Linked DNA regions of Sus scrofa. The protein of the gene in region 3 purifies or fractionates together with the protein of the main gene of each other region. This does not show direct contact. Links are inferred from orthologs where the notes say so. Each region holds a gene or a part of one and is shown on either strand. Other genes may lie near its edges.

The links. Proteins that work in one complex are often made in the same cells at the same time.
Region 1: the proteins of CUL4A (region 3) and COPS8 purify together in Homo sapiens (affinity purification with mass spectrometry; 10 studies listed by BioGRID and IntAct, counting the BioPlex papers as one, with this or other methods). This does not show direct contact. The link is inferred for Sus scrofa from reciprocal best matches to the Homo sapiens genes CUL4A and COPS8.
Region 2: the proteins of CUL4A (region 3) and CDKN1B purify together in Homo sapiens (affinity purification with western blotting; 5 studies listed by BioGRID, with this or other methods). This does not show direct contact. The link is inferred for Sus scrofa from reciprocal best matches to the Homo sapiens genes CUL4A and CDKN1B.

Annotation. Positions count from the first base shown.
Region 1 is NC_010457.5:136,826,737-136,830,483, reverse strand, and holds the start of COPS8 (COP9 signalosome complex subunit 8), read right to left. Parts: upstream 2,263-3,747; 5' UTR 2,122-2,262; coding exon 2,044-2,121; intron 1,062-2,043; coding exon 991-1,061; intron 1-990. UniProt on the Homo sapiens protein: Component of the COP9 signalosome complex (CSN), a complex involved in various cellular and developmental processes.
Region 2 is NC_010447.5:59,732,936-59,736,631, reverse strand, and holds the start of CDKN1B (cyclin-dependent kinase inhibitor 1B), read left to right. Parts: upstream 1-800; 5' UTR 801-842; coding exon 843-1,317; intron 1,318-1,863; coding exon 1,864-1,985; 3' UTR 1,986-1,993; intron 1,994-3,696. UniProt on the Homo sapiens protein: Important regulator of cell cycle progression. Inhibits the kinase activity of CDK2 bound to cyclin A, but has little inhibitory activity on CDK2 bound to SPDYA. Involved in G1 arrest. Potent inhibitor of cyclin E- and cyclin A-CDK2 complexes.
Region 3 is NC_010453.5:78,556,230-78,559,899, forward strand, and holds the start of CUL4A (cullin-4A), read left to right. Parts: upstream 1-800; 5' UTR 801-982; coding exon 983-1,136; intron 1,137-1,708; coding exon 1,709-1,824; intron 1,825-3,670. Other genes in the region: PCID2 (PCI domain-containing protein 2), read right to left, coding at 446-481. UniProt on the Homo sapiens protein: Core component of multiple cullin-RING-based E3 ubiquitin-protein ligase complexes which mediate the ubiquitination of target proteins. As a scaffold protein may contribute to catalysis through positioning of the substrate and the ubiquitin-conjugating enzyme.

The sequences.
Region 1 (3,747 bases), on a different chromosome or scaffold from region 3:
TTGTCCAGGTGAAATGAGAGCGGTTTCCCAGATAAAAAGACATGAAATATTTTACCAAAGTAACATTTTGCCATTTTTAGTGAATTTTTAAATTAATAATCCAGATCTTAAATTAAGGTTACAGTACAAAGACTTAAAGAGGACTACCTAAATAATTTAGTCATATATAAAAATAAACAGATTCATACACTTTCAAGGCACTGCTGTTCCCTGACAGTATACAGGTACACAGTGCTTTTCTCCATCTCATGACCCTTCCTCCTACCAGTGGCTACAGAGCCACCACACCTTCAAGGCAGGATTTTTTGGTTTCTTTTTTTTTTTTTTTTTTTTAAGAGTTTGGAATCTTGAACGATAACAAACATATAATGACATGATTATAAAACAAGAAACATAATTTATACAATAGATGAGTAATAAAAATCTCAGTTTAGTTTAAAAGATGCCAAATAAGAAGGTTTACAAGAATTTTAAAACAAAACTGAACAGTAATCATGGCTTTCAGAACATAAGGACTCTTTTTTGCGCAGTTATACTGACTTGTCTTCAATGAACGTGAATGAGGAATAATTAAAAACAAAACCTTTCAAGAAATCGCATACATGACAGTAACAAATTCCTCTTAGCTCTCTCAATTTTCCCTTTCGGTTTCTCTTAGTCTATCGATCACATGTGACATTAAGTAAACAGGTCATAAAAGACAGACATTTCATAACAAAACAAAAGAGAAGAGACTAACAGATTTAAAGGAATTTACTGACACTGTAGTTCATCGTAACAGATTGAAAAATTTTAAGAAAGATATAAGAAAAGAAGTGCATTTTAACTCAGCCTAATCACGATTTAAGCCATGATTCAGTATATGAAATAAATATACTATTACAATAAAATGTAAAGCTCCTTCTGTCTATGTTTTAGTGATGCTACTTCAACGCAAGAATAATTTCTTCAGGAAGCTGTTTCTCTTAGCTTTAGGTAGAAAGTACTTACATGTCATTATGGAGCAGATATAAAGCTAGAAGCTGACCATACACTGGAGGTGTAGCAATTCCTCCTGGAGCCTTTAAAGCCAAAAACAAAAGAGAAAAAGCTCATTTATTTGTATACTTTTGTATTTTTCAAAGCATCTAAAAAGTAAGCATATTTCATAGTACTTACCCTTACAGATGGAGAAAAAGAGAGTGTCACACACTAAAAGCCAGAGTGATAAGTTTAGATCTGTCACCAGCTATGAATTATCTCCCTCTGGGCCACTGAGTTTATATATGCACGGGAACATTTCAGTGGGATCCCTTTCCCAGTTCTCAAATTCTTATTTAAATGGCCTTACTGTTACAAGAGTATTTCCCACAGATTCCTCAAGTATGATGATTCTGCCCGTTACACCAGGTATGTTGAAAATCTAGGTAAGTGAGTAACGAAGAGAGAAATGTCACAGCTGAATGACGAAGACGTTTCTCTCCTTGTTCAACTTTATTCAGAAAATCATCTGTTAAGTGTCTATTAGTGAGCTGCTGCTTCTGGCAGTAGTCTCTTTGGGTTAATTAACTTTTTATACTGATACTGTACATGCTTGTAAGTGCCTTTCTAAGAAAATTAAAAAAAAAAAAAAAACCCTTACTGTTAAGACCTTCGTGAAATAATTTCACCAGTCCTAATGAAGCTAAGACGGCAAGCTTCCGCGACATGAGACTAAGGACTTTCCGAGTTAGGAACAGGCTACAACGCGCACACAGACTCCCTCACCTCTCCCCACGACGGGGAGGAAACATCTTTAACCCGAGAAGCATATTGGAGAGTGTTAGGAGCAAAGACGCACAGCATTTTCGGGCTCACTGGCTGAAGACAAAACAACAAAAAGCCCCCAGCAAGTTCGGGGAGGCGAGGCCTGGATGCTCAGCCAGGAGCAGGCCCGGCGTCCCGGGCTCCACACGCCCGGCCCCGCGCCCGCCCCAGCCCGGCGGGCCCTGGGCCTCGGGCCCCGTTACCCTGGAGACCGGCGCCGCACAAGGCCACGCGCGACCCCGAAAGGCGAATGGCTACCTCCAGCTCCTGGTTCTCGCACTGATCCAGCAACTTTTTGAAATTAAAGGCACTTTCCGCCATCACCGCCACTGGCATCTTCCCGGCCGGTCCCGCCGCCGTACCTCCCCTTCTAGCTGGACCCCAGACTTGTCCCTCCGGGCGTCGCGCCCGCGATGACGTAAAAGCCGCCGTCGCCGCCGAGCTCCCGTGCGCAGGCGCATCATCGGTTCCGGCGCGTCATTAGACGTCGCTGCGGCCTGGCGGGGTCGCTGCCGCTCTGGCCCGTGCACTCTATGTCCTGGAGGACTCGCCTGGCGTCTGGGGACGCGGCTTTCGGAGCCAGGGAGGGCGGGGACTGGGGCCGGTCTGCGGACTCTTCGCTGCCTTTACTCTGAGGCCACGGAAATTTTAAAGTTCAAAACCCAGCTTTCGGTTCCTCCCCCCGCCTCCTCCTTCAGCAGCCCTCCCGCTTCGGTGCAGGCGGTGCGGTCCTTCCTGGGGGCTCCCCTCCTGCAGGCCCCCCATCCGAGAGCGGCTGCGCCAGCGTGGACCACCCGACAGGGCCTGAGCTCGGTCCTCTCCGGACCTCACTCCGCCTCCCTCCAGGCTACTCCCGGACAGCCACCGCAGCCAAAATGATGCTTTTTGAAACCTAAGTCGTCTTGTTATTCTTCTGCTCAAATCCCTAACAATCCAGAGTCTTTGGCATCGCTCACAGATCAAATCCCCAGATCCCTCCGACTTGCTCCAGCCATCCTGGCCTCCTCAGTTTTCTGCGCAGTCCTAACGAACGTTGTATGGTGCGTTATTTATTTATACTTTGGTTTGCTGCCCTTGCCTAGGCCGCCCTGCTGCAGGGTCAGCCGCAGGATTTGTGAGCCCAAAGCAAATTGAAAACGCACATCACTAGTTCAAAAAGCAGAAGGGAAATTACCCGTAAAGGCTATAGAATCTAAAGCTTTTCCCTTATTCCGCAGTGTTTCAACTTTTCATAGCATTCTAAAGTTTGCTATTTAATATTCTAAGAAAGGGAAAAAGCAAAAATTTCAATTATTAGCATGCATCTTACCATCTGTCTTTATATTATACGAAGCCAATTTTAAAGGCGAATATAAGTGCATTTAACTCATGTGGAATCACAGAAATCACACAATTGGTAGACGTAACACTTTGTTTGTACTTAAGCTGGGTCTTGCTGAATTCCTATCATTTGGGGTCGACTGGGAATTCTGCATTCATGGGGTATTTTAAACACTGTGGAGGGCAGAAAACGCATACCTCAATCATCTCTTTGAGTGTCTGTCCTCCCTATGGACTTGCCAAACCCATACTCGAAGATAAAATTATTTAGGATTCCAAGACAGTGACGGTTTCACTGATTATTTTTGTAGAATCAACACTTTCCATGTGGAAATGGTTGTGTTTAGTTATGCTTCAGATAGAACATAGAGATAAGAAAAGCACTGCAAAAGTTGCTCAAAGAATTGCCAAAAACCTTAAATAGGAAGGTGTGCAAATAGCTGGTAGAACTCGAGATATTTTGGGGGAATGAAAGCAACACACTTTCATTCGTCCAAAAAAAGAAAAGAAAAGGGACTAAGGGTAAAATGATTCTGAGATCATTCGACAAAGTTTGAGGAACAAGATTTTGAATTTTCAACATGTGATAATGGCTCCCAGCCTATTTCTGGCCAAGAAAGATTTCATTGGGAAGATAGTTAT
Region 2 (3,696 bases), on a different chromosome or scaffold from region 3:
GAGGGAGGTCGGGGCTCCGGAGCGGAGCGCAGCGCAGGGACCAGAACCCGCCACCTCTCCGGCCAGGCCCCTCCCCGGCTCCCCGGCCTTTTGGCGAGTTTGTCTTATTTTTAATTTCTCCGAGGCCAGCCAGAGCAGGTTTGCTGGCAGCCCGGCACCTCCAGCAGTCACGCGACCAGTCGAGCTCCCGGCCGCGCGCTCGGCGGCGGCGCGCTCGGGAGGCGGGGAGGCGCAGCGGCGGCTCAGGGGCCACCTTAAGGCCCAGCTCGCCAGTCTCGGCTGGGCGGCTCCCGGCGCCGCGACCAATGATCTCCTCCTCTGTTTAAATAGACTTGCGGTGTCAATCATCTTCTTCTTCGTCAGCCTCCCTTCCACCGCCATATTGGGCAACTAAAAAAAGGGGGCTCGTCTTTTCGGGGTGTTTTTCTCCCCCTCCCCTGTCCCCACTTTCTCGCCGCTCCGCGACTCCGACGCCGGCAAGGTTTGGAGAGCCGCTCGGTCGGCGGGACCCGCGGGCTCGCAGCGGCGGGGACTCGGACTGGCTCTGCCCCCTCCTCTCTCCGCTGCGCTCCTCTCCCCTCCCCTCCCCGCCCTCCAGCTCGCCCGTACACTTGATCGGCGGAGACTCGGGGCTGCCTGGCCCGGGCTGCCCCTCGCCCCCTCCCCCAGCCCCAGCGCGCTCCTGACGCTCGGGCGCTTACTCGTCGGTGTTTGTTTCTCTTGGCTCGGAGGGCAGCCGCAGGGCTTATAAGAGGGGCTCGGGCTGGGTCGAGGCGTTTTGTTTTGTTCGGTTTTGTTTTGCGAGAGCGCGAGAGAGGCGGTCGCCGAGCCCCGGGAGGAAGATGTCAAACGTGAGAGTGTCTAACGGGAGCCCGAGCCTGGAGCGGATGGACGCCAGACAGGCGGAGTACCCCAAGCCCTCGGCCTGCCGAAACCTCTTCGGCCCGGTCAATCACGAAGAGTTAACCCGGGACTTGGAGAAGCACTGCAGAGACATGGAAGAGGCCAGCCAGCGCAAGTGGAATTTTGATTTTCAGAATCACAAGCCCCTGGAGGGCAAATACGAGTGGCAGGAGGTGGAAAAGGGCAGCTTGCCCGAGTTCTACTACAGACCCCCGCGGCCACCCAAAGGCGCCTGCAAGGTGCCGGCGCAGGAGGGCCAGGGTGTCAGCGGGACCCGCCAGGCGGTGCCTTTAATTGGGTCTCAGGCCAACTCAGAGGACACACATTTGGTAGACCAAAAGACTGATGCACCGGACAGCCAGACGGGGTTAGCGGAGCAGTGCACTGGGATAAGGAAGCGACCTGCCACAGACGGTAATGACCCTTTCGAATGCATGAAACGTCTGTTTGTCTGCCTCTCTCTGTTTGTCTGCCGTGCTGTTTTCCCTGCTTGAGGATCTTAAACCTCCGCTTTCTTTTCAGCGCATTCTGACTTAGCTCTTGGGGAACACACCTTCCTCATCTTAGGTTTTAAATGCTATTTGGCTAGCTGCTGGTCTGTTTATGACTTTTAAGTCTGAAGCATGAGACTGTGCTATCTGATAATTTCTCTAACTGAAAACATCGCGGCTCCTCCCCGCTAGCCAGCTGTAGGTATGTGACAACGTTGGGATGTTTATCAACCACCTCCCTCTTCGCTTTGGAGAGAGAGAGATTTGGGGCGTAGAATACACTTTCTGTTATGTGAAAACAACCTCATTTTGTGCCCTTAAAGGCCACTGGGAATGACGGATCCAGGATGGTGGGTGGAGGTGGTGGGTTTTTTGTCCCCTCAGTATCGAGCCAACTTGTGTCAGCCATTGTTTTTTCTAATAAAGATTATTTGTGTGTGTTCTTTTTAAAATTCCCTCCTGCCTTTAGATTCCTCTCCTCAAAACAAAAGAGCCAACAGAACAGAAGAAAATGTTTCAGACGGTTCCCCGAACTCGGCTTCAGTGGAGCAGACGCCCAAGAAGCCCGGCCTCAGAAGGCGTCAAACGTAAACTGCTCGGTGGGTTGATCACTGGAAGCAAATAAGTGACACCCGATTTGGGCTGAAGGAACTCATGGGTTTTCAAACACCAAGATACCCGATCTTAGTGGTGTCTGGCAGATTAGAGCTTGTGGGGTTTTGTTTGTATTTTATGAGGTCCAAAAAAAGGAGGAATGGGAAAGACTGGGCATCAGGGTGGGGGTACTATAATTCTTCCCAGTTTCTCTGTCCTGAGATCATTTTCCTTTGAAGCTCCCAATGATTAGAGCAAGTGTCCCAGGCAAATACTTGCAACCAAGGCCCTGTGGGTAGGAAGGTCAGTTCCCTGAGAGTCCCATCAAAACGGTGTTGGGAACAATAGGTTCTTTTTCCATCTGAACAAGAGCGGGGGTCTGCCTCCATCCCACTTCAGGAGAATTCATCTCCCAGAGGACCAAGCTGACTCTAACAGATTTTGAGCCATACATGGAAAAAAATGGCAAATAAATGATCCAGTTAAAACTTTGAGGGAAAAGTTAGGTACAAATGGCTCATATCTGGTTAATCACATGGTTAGAAATGTGAATAGAGAGGAGTGTGGCTTTCTTTTATCTATCGTTTTCACAAAGTGTCACTTGCCCTGTTTTCTGATCAGTGTGGGGGATGGAGAAGGAACCTGTGTATTTAAAAAAAACCAAAATGGAAGGCTCAAAAACGCTAAGGTTCCTATGGAATTTCTGATAACACTGAAGTTACAAAGCAGAAGTTAAGTAACTCTGCCAGAGTAAGCAATCCAGGAACACGTCAGCATGTGTATGCTAATCGTGCTATAACAGGATAATTTGGATATTTGTAGGGGAAATGGATAGTAGATACCAGGGCTGCCACTGGTTAGGGCTACCCCGAACAAGGCAAGTGGACATTTTTCCACCTACTAAAATCTGATCAATGTAAAAAACTAATTTGCATAATTCAGCCCCCCAGCTTTACATGGATTGGTTTCCATAATGATCAAACTACATATATTAGTTAATAGTTTGTACACTCCTTACAGACAATGACCGTGACCTCTTTTTTTTCCCCTCCACAAACACCCTCATAGCTTAGCATTTAAAGAGATCCTAAGAGATGTTGACATTAACTTTCAAAATCCTCATTTATAAAAATTTTAAAATAAAGAACAGGGATGAAGGTAGGGTTCAAGTTTGTTGTGTTTTTACATCAGTGTCACAGGTAGGACTTTATTACATACGTCTGATATCTTTCAGAGCTTATACAACACGGCACTATCGAACCCTACGTTATAGCTGTATATGAAGTGAAAAAAATTTCTGAGTCAACCTTAACACCTGTGGCTCTTGTTGGTTGGTGACTCGTGGCCTAGCTCATCAGATGAGCCACAGCAAATCAGACCTACTGGATTTTGATCTGGCCGCATTCTGACATACAGAGAGGCATTTGTTAGTAAATATTGCCAGTTCAGCGAATACAGGAAATAGTAGTAAGGACCTCTTCTCAAGCATTCATGTGTGTATACTCTTCATACGACTGAGAAACTAGTTTTTTTTTTGGGGGGGGTGAATAGAATTTTCTTTGGTGAGCTTTTCTATTTCCAGTTATTTTTCAAATTTAGAAAATTTTGCTACTCTTAAGTGTTAACAGTTCCTTAATTTTCCTGTGTCTGTTCTTTCTCACTATTTTTGACCCCGATTCTCTAGACCAGGGTTTCTCAACCTCTGCAC
Region 3 (3,670 bases):
TCCTGATTACCACGGTTCTAGTTCTGCGAAATAGCATGGCTCAGGGGAAAGACTACAAGCTTCGAATCCACAAAAACATATTTGCGCTCTCCCGTTGCATTTGGAGCCTGTTTAGACAAAACTCCTCAGAGACACAAATCCCAAAGGACATAGGTACGCCGAGCGCCAACACAGAACCCCCTTGCAGTCGAACCACTTGCTTTCCCCGGCTCCTACATCCACCACTGCCTGTCCCCCGTCCCCACACGCCCCTGAATTGAGGGCACGGCCGCCGGGGCTCCCGAGCCCCCAGGGTACACGGTGAGGGCGCCTGCTTCCCGTCTGGCGGCCAAAGGCTCCGGCGCAGCCGGCGAACGGACCCGCCCGGGCCCCAGCCCGCTCCGGGCCGCAGCTCAGGGAAGCGGGAGGTCAACCGGCAGGGGGCCCGATGGTCGGCGAACGTTACCTGCTGCAGGTACTGGTTGAGGGTGATGTGCGCCATGGCCGCGCCTGCAGTGCGGCGGAGCTGCGCGCCCGTCGCCGCCTGCTTGCGTCACTTCCGGGCCGCGGTCCGTCCCGGCCCCGCGCCCCCCGCCCTCCGCGCACCTTGGTTCCGGAGGCAGCCTGTGCGCGGGAACGCGAGCCCCGGGCCGGCATGGCGGCGCGCCCGGGCTGAGGCGGGCTGGGGGCTGCGCTGCGACTCCCCGAACCGCTCGCGAGGCCGCCTCGTCCGCGCCCCAGGTGCCCAGGCCCGCCGGCCGCTCGCCTGCTGCGAGGTTCCACACGGACCGCGGCGGAAGCGGACTGCGGCGCCCGCGAGCTCGGGGCCGGGTCGGGCCGGGTCAGGTCGGGTCGGGGTCCGGCGCGCTCCCGAGGCCTGAGGCGCGCGGTCGGCGTCGGGATCCGGCGGTTGGACCGGGCCGGGCCGGACCGGGGAGCGCAGCCGGGGGAGCGGACAGGCGGGCGCGGGCGGAGGCCCGGGCGGGGCGCTGCGGCCGCGGCCATGGCCGACGAGACCCCCAGGAAGGGCAGCTTCTCGGCGCTCGTCGGGCACACCAACGGCCTCACCAAGCCCGCGTCCCTCGCCGCCGCCGCCGTCACCTCCAAGCCCGGGGGCAGCGGCGGCTCCAAGAAGCTCGTGATCAAGAATTTCCGAGGTGGGTGCGGGGCCGCGGCGGGGCGGGCGGGGGTCGCTTTCCCTCCGCGGCTGTGTCGTCGGGACGGAGGGTTCGGCTGGAGTTAAGTTCGGCCAAGCAGCGCAGGTGTCGTGGTTGGCGAGGCCGAGCCAGAACGAGTGGCAGCCCCTGAAGCGCTGGGTGATGTCGCTTAATTTAATTACTTTCTCCGCTGTCACTGTCGTTATCTGGGAGCAAGCGTCTTCGTCCCACACAGACCTCCCTCCCGACGTTGAGTAATTTAACTCAACTTTAAATCTGGTCGGGGCTTAACTATTCCATGTTTGTTTATTTGTAACGTCTCCTTACTTAGAAGACTACATGTGTGTGTCCTAAGTATCAACACTGCAAGTATTTACCCAGCAAAAGAGAGACATTGTGGTCACATAGTCTCTAAGCCAAGGAAGGTGTAAACACAGTGCTTCCTTTGGGGAAGAGCTACTGCCCGTATTCGTCACCTAGGTGTCTTTGAGTCCTTTTTTGTAGAGTTTTTTTTTAAGGTGTGTGACTCTTGGCATGATGCCCTTCCCCACTCACTGTCTCTGGATTTACAGACAGACCGAAGTTGCCTGATAACTACACTCAGGACACCTGGCACAAGCTTCACGAGGCGGTGAAAGCCATACAGAGTAGTACCTCCATCAGATACAACCTGGAAGAGCTCTACCAGGTAAGACTCCACCTTTGCAAACAGCGGGGCTCCTTAGGATTCTCACCTAATTTCTTCAGGGAGAACGTCCAGGCCTGGGGGCCAGCATCTTGTTTTTCACTTACCGTTTTTTGCAGCTGTCCAAACCACACGGTTGTGCACTTCCACGAAATGTGACACGGGTGCGGATTCCGTGGGCCTCAGTATTGTCTCAGCGAAGGAAATACTAGAAATCCAAGTACAGGCCTCCGGCAGAAACAGTGGGAGTTCTGCGAGAGGACGTCCCCAGGGTCAAGGAGGATTTTCGGGTTTTGGCGCTTGTGGGATTTTTATTTTCTTTTCAGGCTTCAACTGTCTAGAAAGGCATTTAAAGTTAATTCATCACAGGAAAGCCATATGTTTCTGTGAGCCATGCGACTCTGTTTTCCAAATATGCAGCAAATGTTATTAAAATTCCAAGTTACGTTATATATAAAATTCTCATGACAGTTTCACTTGTAGATTTTCCCTGTCTTCATTGTACTTTGTGATTAATTATTGCGGTTAAAATGTGCAAACAGGTTTTGTTTCATTTGATTTAAATTAATGATGTTCTTGTTCTAACATAAGAAAAAATGGTCGAAAGTATGTTTCACGGTTGGATATTCCACTTACAAGCAGACTGGTTTTTCTTTTCTGGTATCTTAAAGACTAACAATTTGTCAGCTGGGCCTAATATCACCCACGTTTTAGGTAATGACAGTACAATTTCTATTAGGAGACTTGGATTTTAAGTTTTTTCTTTTTCTGTAAGTGATTACATTGTAAAATTATGGAAACTATAAAAAATACAAGGAAAACAATTGAAAACCAACAAAATTAGAAACCGTTGTTGTGCAGCGGAAGCAGATCTGACTAGGAACCATGAGGTTGTGGGTTCGACCCCTGGCCTCGCCCAGTGAGTTAAGGATCCGGCGTTGCTGTGAGCTGTGGTGTAGGTTGCAGATACAGCTTGGATCTGGTGTTGCTGTGGTTGTGGTGTAGACCGGCAGCTGCAGCTCTAATTTGACCCCTAGCCTGGAAACTCAAGTATGTCCCACGTGCAGCCCTAAAAAGCAAAAAAAAAAAAAAAAAAAAAAAAAATCACCTATTCTCCCACCACCCAAAGAAAACGTTGACAATTTGAGGGACATATGTCCCTTCTTTGTCACAAGTTTGTGTGAATTTATTGTATTTTTTTTAAACTCTTTGAATTTTATTGTATTTATAGTTGTATAACCATCCTTAGAGTTTTTGGTGTTTTAATCACCTTTAATAAGGTAGAAATATGTAGTTTGTTAAGTTTTAGCAGGTGTACCCCACAGTCTAACCAGCAGCACACTGGGGACCACAGTGGGTGTTTCCATCATCCAGAGTTCCCTGAGGCCCCCTTGAATTCAGCATCTCCCTCACCCCAGTCCCTGACCTCACCGCCCTCCCTCACCCCCGTCCCTGACCTCACCGCCCTCCCTCACCCCCGTCCCTGACCTCACCGCCCTCCCTCACCCCCGTCCCTGACCTCACCGCCCTCCCTCACCCCCGTCCCTGACCTCACCGCCCTCCCTCACCCCCGTCCCTGACCTCACCGCCCTCCCTCACCCCCGTCCCTGACCTCACCGCCCTCCCTCACCCCCGTCCCTGACCTCACCGCCCTCCCTCACCCCCGTCCCTGACCTCACCGCCCTCCCTCACCCCCGTCCCTGACCTCACCGCCCTCCCTCACCCCCGTCCCTGACCTCACCGCCCTCCCTCACCCCCGTCCCTGACCTCACCGCCCTCCCTCACCCCCGTCCCTGACCTCACCGCCCTCCCTCACCCCTGTCCCTGACCTCACTGCCCTCCCTCACCC